Linked DNA regions of Callithrix jacchus. The protein of the gene in region 1 purifies or fractionates together with the protein of each later gene. This does not show direct contact. Links are inferred from orthologs where the notes say so. Each region holds a gene or a part of one and is shown on either strand. Other genes may lie near its edges. The genes, in order: ACAD9 and TIMMDC1.

Region 1 (2,721 bases):
GCCCCATCTGTGATTCCAACACACTGGAGGAGAAACCATTTGAGCACTGTCTATAGTGCAAAACCCATCAGCACTGGGTAGGGGGGTGCCTGAGCCACCCCCTAGATCAGGACCTGCAAAAAGCATATGCCACTCTTAGCGAGTGCCACAGTGCTAGCACCTACCCCCATTACTTGGTAATAGGACTGGGCTCTGCAAGGACATTGACCCAGAGTCTCAGGCCAACATGACTGTGAGGGTCAGAACTGGACTGAGCTGGGCATTCCCAGGTATGGTTGAGTGGCTATAAAAGAGGAAGAGCAATGCAGACAAGACTGGGGAGCACGAGCAAAGCTCTCTGTTCTCTCAGCCAAGGCCTGAGCCCTCTGCAAGGCACTGCAAGGTCAGTGGGTAAAAGGGCAGATAAAATGCTGTCTCCTAAATCTCCAGATCTTACAACCAGGTGCTCCTCACTTTGTAAGCCTTCCCAGGACAGCTTCAAGAATATAGTCAGGGCTGGGCATGGTGGCTCACGCCTGTAATCCCATTTTGGGAGGCCAAGGTGGGTGGATCACCTGAGGTCAAGAGTTGGAGACCAGCCTGGCCAACATGGTGAAACCCCATCTCTACTACATATACAAAAATTATCCAGGCATGGTGGTGTATGCCTGTGATCCCAGCTCCTCTGAAGGCTGAGGCAGGAGAACTGCTTGAACCTGGGTTGCAGTGAGCAGAGATTGTACCACTGCACTCCAGTCTGAGTGACAAGATGATACTCTGTCTCTATCTCCCAAAAAAAAAAAAAAAAAAAAACAGCCAGGCAGCAGGCTGGGCAGATGCCAGGGGCTCTGCACTTGCTTGATCTCAAACTGCCTTGGTGAATGGAGCAGCTTTGCACCTACAGTGCCTGGCAGGCACTCTACAGCTAAGCCCAGGCTTACCCAGGCCCTCACTCAAGACAAAGGTCTGTGAGTAGCCAACAGGCACTGGGAGCTTGACAGGGTCCAGAAACAGCTCATCATCAACAGGGGCCCAGAAGTGGGCCCTTCCTTCCCTCCCCCAAGACATGCCACTCACACTTGTCCAGCTGAGAGAGGCTGAAGAGATTCTGGAAGTAAGCTTCCACGCAGAAGGTGTTGGCCAAGAGAATCTGCCAGAACCGAAGACAGAAAAGATGTGCCCAAATCCCTGTAATCTGACCTCTGAGCTTCAAAAACCCAGCCTGTCAGCCAAACTGGGTAGTATGGGAGGGGTCAAAGGGCTTGGCTCAGGAGTCTCCCCTGACCCAAACTAGCTCTTTTCCCAAAAGCAAGTGACTCAACATCTGAGCCTGTTTCCTCTGAGAGGCAGAGAGCTTGGTACACAGTGGGTCCTCAGAGACTGCACCTGCCTCCCTCCAGCAGAGTGGGCAATGTGCAGGGTCTGCCCCTCGTTGTGGGTGGGGACACTGGATCAGGAACCCCCATCACTCACCTGTGTCTTCTCTCAGGCAGGAAGAAGAAACGGAACAGCCTCATCTCCTAAGCAGCACAGCCTCTCCCATAGCCTCCCCATGCAGGGCCTATGGACACCCCCTGAACTGGCCCAGCCCTCCTCTGCTGGGACTAACAAGGCCCCCCTTACCCGCCCACCCCCCTCCCCGACAATCAACTTCATTAAAGTGCAGCAGGACAGAGGCCAGCAGCCAGGCCCTGTGTGAAGCTGGGCAGTGCTCACCTCGTGGTCGTGGTTACGGAGCCCGATGCGGATGGAGCGGCTGGCCCGCGACAGTACAGCCGTCATGCCATACAGGTTGATGAGGATGTTGGCTACCCGCTTCAGCACCAGCTGCTCCTCCCCGATAGTCTGGGATCACAGAGACTCTGAGTGGAGACTCACTACCTAAACCAGCCCCCAACATGGTCCCTCCCAGGGCGGCACCTTTGCCTGTCTTAGTCTCCCGTTTTCCTTGAGAAAGTGGAGCCAGTAACACCTTTCCCTTCAGGTTGCAGGAGAACCGGCTCTTTGGTCTGTTTTCCCTTCTCTTTGGTCTCTAGATTCAGGGAGGGGGTTAAGGCATGACCAGGTCCCAGAAACTTGGCTAAGACCAACAGCCAGTGCCTACTGTGCTACTGTCATCTTCGGCAGTAAGAGCCCCACCAATCAGATCCCCAGATTCAGGCCCCAGGTGGTGCTGCCCTTCTGATTCTAGGGAGCCTCTCTTTACCTGGAAGGTGCACAGAAAAACACAGCAGAATACTCACCCAACAAGGGTGCCCTCTGAGTAGCTAAGTGGGCCCCAGGACAGGCTGATAAAGCCAGCCTGACCTCAGCCACCCCATTCCTCCAGGGTGATCAAGATTTCTGTTCTAGGCCTGGGAGGGCCTGGTTACCTTGCCAAAGCGGAGCAGCAGCGTCTCCACGGTCCGGCCGAAGTAGTAGGTGTTCTCCTCTAACTTGTTGGCACTATCCTATTAGCCAAGACAGGACTCAGTTCAGCACCTCATCCCTACCATGCCCTGTCCTGTCCCACAGCTCAAGTACCAGGCAGAGATGCCCCATCTGGGGGAAGCAATCCAAGGTGTCATGGACTAGCTGGTGCTCCCCAACTTTCCCTGGAGGAGCCTAGACCGCCCCCACAGTGAACCTTTCTGCCATGAGGAGATCTGGCAAGAGGGCATGCAAGTAGGGGGTATGCCTGCTGGGCCCACTCACCTCAAGACTGGGGTGCACGACTCCAAGTTTGCCTGTCAGCCCCATGTC
Region 2 (3,824 bases), about 10 Mb from region 1:
AGCTCAGATAATTTTTTTTTTCTAAATGGAGTCTTGCTCTGTCACCCAGGTTGGAGTGCCGTGGCACCATCTTGGCTCACTGCAACTTCCGCCTCCTGGGTTCAAGGAATTCTCCTGCCTCAGCCTCCCAAGTAGCTGGGACTAGCGTGTGCCACCACGCCCAGCTAATTTTTTGTGTTTTTGGTAGAGATGGGGTTTCACTGTTAGCCAGGATGGTCTTTATCTCCTGACCTTGTGATCCACCTGTCTCAGCCTCCCAAAGTGCTGGGATTACAGGCATGAGCCACTGCACCTGGCTCAAGCTCAGAGAATTTTTAACTTTTTCTTTATTCTTTTTTCCCCCTCCCTTTTAATTCAGCTAAGATGAAAGTGGGTGAAAATTTTTAACCTTTTCTTTTGAAATTATGGCAGGCTTGAAAGTTGCAACAATAGTACAAAGATTTCCTATATACCTTCCATCCAGGTTCTCCAGTTAACATTTTACCATGTATGTTTTATCATTCTCCCTCTGTATAATATGTACTAATTTTTTCTGAACTACTTGACAGTAGGTTATAGACATAATGAATACTTCAGTGTGTATTTCATAAAAACAAGAACATTCGATTATACAACCACTATTATATCAAGATCAGGAAATTAACAATGATATAGTACTGTTATCTTATTTAAAGACCTGTAAATTTTGCTAGTTATCCCACAATATCATTTATTTTAAAAATAAATTTTAAAAAGTTTTTTTTCAGAAGTTAGGTTTGAGTGCTTATTAAAAAATTAATTAAAAATTTTTTTTGGTCTGGTCCAGAATCTGCTGAATTTGCTTGTCATGCAGCTTTGGTCTCATTTAGTCTGAAAGAGTTTCTCTGGTTTTTTTTTTTTGTTGTTGTTGTTGTTGTTTGTTTATTTTTCATGGCCTTGGCTATGGATAATTTATTTTGTAGAATATCCCTCAGTTTGGATTTGTTTGATGGTTTCTTATGTTTGATGGCTTCTCAGGCTGTTTTTTGACAGGAATACCCTAGAACTTATATTAAATCAGAAGCATGTGATATCTTTGTTCCTTTATTGGTGATGTTTACTTTAGTTACTTGGTTAAGATGGCCTCTGCCAATTATACCCTGTAAAATTACTGTTTTCCCTTTGTAATTTATAAGTATTTTGAGTACTTGTTAGTTCCTTTGAGACTATGTAAATATCCTACTTTTCATCAAATTTATTTTCATCAAATGCTATTTTGGCATTTATACTTTTTTAATTTTTTTTTTAAGTTATTTATTCATTTATTTTTTGACACAGGGTCTCACTCTGATACCTAGGCTGGAGTGCAGTAGCACAATCTTGGCTCGCTGCAACCTCCATTTCCCAAGCTTACACAATTCTCCTGCCTCAGCGTCCCAAGTAGCTGGGACTATAGGCATGTGCCACCATGCCCGGCTAATTTTTTTGTTTTTGTAGAGACGGGGTTTTGGCCATGTTGCCCAGTCTGGTCTCAAACTCCTGAAGCAGCATGCCCTCCGTGGCCTCCCAAAGTGTTGGTATTATAGGTGTAAGCCACTGTGCTCAGCCATACACACACACACACACACACACACACACACACACAGATTACAGAGATTTATCCATTGTTAATTCACCGCACTTGCTTTATCTTCTTGCTACTACGTGTACTCTCCCTCTTTGTGTATGTGTTTACACACATGGGAAAACACATACACAATTTGAACGTAACTTTTTTTTTAATCCTTTAAGTCCAGGGGTGCATGTGCAGGATTTGCAGGTTTGTTACTTAGGTAAATGCGTGTCATGGAGTTTTGCTATACAGATTCTTTGATCACCCAAGTATTAAGCCTAGTATCTGTCTATCTATCTATATATCTATGTATATCTATATATATATATATTTTTTGAGGCAGGGTCTTGCTGTTTCACCCAGGCTGGAGTGCAGTGGCGTGATCAAAGCTCACTGCAACCTCAAACTTCTGGACTTCAGCTTTCCTCCTACCTCAGCCTTCTGAGTAGCTAGGACTGCAAATGCACACCACCATGCCCAGCTAATCTAAAATTTTTTTTTTTTTTTGTAAAGACAGTATCTCGCTGTGTTGCCCAGGCTGGTCTTGAACTTGCGGGCTCCAGCAACCCTCCCTCATTGCCTCCCAAAGTGCCGAGATTACAGCTGTAAGCCACCATACCCAGGAAGTTTTAGTATTTAATGATGATTCCTGCCTGAGACAGATATGACTATGTTGACCAAATGGACATTTTCTAAAGTCTATCATTCTTCCTACATTTATTGCTTAGTATTATGCTCTAAGGAAGTGTTTATCCTTCCCCCTCTATTTACTTATTTATTTATCTCTTTATAATTTACTTCTATCAGTAGGGACTCATGGATTCTTATTTTATATTATAGATTTATAATTTGTTACAGGTTGAGCATCACAAATCTGAAATCCTGAATGCTCAGATTCAAAACTTTTTGAGCATCGACATGTCATTCAAAGGAGTTCTCATTGGAGCATTTCAGATTTCAGTTTTTTGAATTTGGGATGCTCAACCAATAAGTGTTAAATGCAGATATTCCCAAATCTGAAAAGATTCAAAATCCAAAACACTTCTGGTCTCAAATATCAGATAAGGGACACTCAACCATTTTCCATCTCCTGATAGGGTACACATGGAACTTTTACTTCAGCCTCAATACTTAAATAATAATATTTCTAGAGATTTTCTAGTATTTCTGTCTGTTTAGGTGTACCTGACGAATCCATAGCTAAAATTCCTCTACCACAGTTCTAGAATAAGGAAAATATGATGGTGTCTTGGAACCTCACAGTTTTTTTAATTAACTTTAGCAATGTGCACATCGTGCTGCCACACGAGGCTTCATTCGGTATGGCTGGCGCTGGGGTTGGAGAACTGCAGTGTTTGTGACTATATTCAAGTAAGTTCACGCTGAATTGTGAGATGGTAAATTTTCTTGATATTGTTTTAGCAGTGTGTCTTATGAGCGGGTGGGATTATGAAAACTGAATACCCACATGAAAGTGATTCATGATACCTTTTTTTCAAGAACTTTTGTTTATATAAATGACTGGCATAGTTTTGGTTTGACATCCATGTCTGGAACACATTGAAGGGGCCTAGGCTAGGACCAGAGATTGATACAGTAGGCTTTTCTAAATCTATTAAGTCAGCGAAAATAACACTCAAAAAGATAAATGGGATATGCTTTAAATATTATATTTTCCTTCTCACTTGTTCCTAGCACAGTGAACGCTGGTCTGAATGTATACCGAAATAAAAATGCCGTAAGCCATTTTGTAATTGCAGGAGGTAAGACATTTTTGTTTATATTTTCCAATCTTCTCAAATACAGCTTAGAAAATATATGAAGACGGCCGGGCGCGGTGGCTCAAGCCTGTAATCCCAGCACTTTGGGAGGCCAAGGCGGGTGGATCCCAAGGTCAAGAGATCGAGACCATCCTGGTCAACATGGTGAAACCCCGTCTCTACTAAAAATACAAAAAATTAGCTGGGCATGGTGGCGCGTGCCTGTAATCCCAGCTACTCAGGAGGCTGAGGCAGGAGAATTGCCTGAACCCAGGAGGCGGAGGTTGCGGTGAGCCGAATTTGCGTCATTGCACTCCAGCCTGGGTAACAAGAGCGAAACTCTGTCTCAAAAAAAAAAAAAAAAAAGAAAGAAAATATATGAAGACTTATAAATCAGAACTACTGAATTCTTTGGTTGGCTTCCTATCACATCTTATCAACATTCATGCAAAATGTCATTATAGACAGTGTTGTGCTTCACCCTTGGTATACTC

What was found.
Region 2: the proteins of ACAD9 (region 1) and TIMMDC1 purify together in Homo sapiens (affinity purification with mass spectrometry; 3 studies listed by BioGRID and IntAct, counting the BioPlex papers as one, with this or other methods). This does not show direct contact. The link is inferred for Callithrix jacchus from reciprocal best matches to the Homo sapiens genes ACAD9 and TIMMDC1.

Annotation. Positions count from the first base shown.
Region 1 is NC_133516.1:73,254,825-73,257,545, forward strand, and holds part of ACAD9 (complex I assembly factor ACAD9, mitochondrial), read right to left. Parts: coding exon 2,674-2,721; intron 2,430-2,673; coding exon 2,352-2,429; intron 1,970-2,351; exon of another isoform or gene 1,825-1,969; coding exon 1,696-1,824; exon of another isoform or gene 1,504-1,695; coding exon of another isoform or gene 1,469-1,503; intron 1,130-1,468; coding exon 1,057-1,129; intron 535-1,056; exon of another isoform or gene 1-534. UniProt on the Homo sapiens protein: As part of the MCIA complex, primarily participates in the assembly of the mitochondrial complex I and therefore plays a role in oxidative phosphorylation.
Region 2 is NC_133516.1:83,300,231-83,304,054, reverse strand, and holds part of TIMMDC1 (complex I assembly factor TIMMDC1, mitochondrial), read left to right. Parts: intron 1-2,852; coding exon 2,853-2,941; intron 2,942-3,265; coding exon 3,266-3,333; intron 3,334-3,824.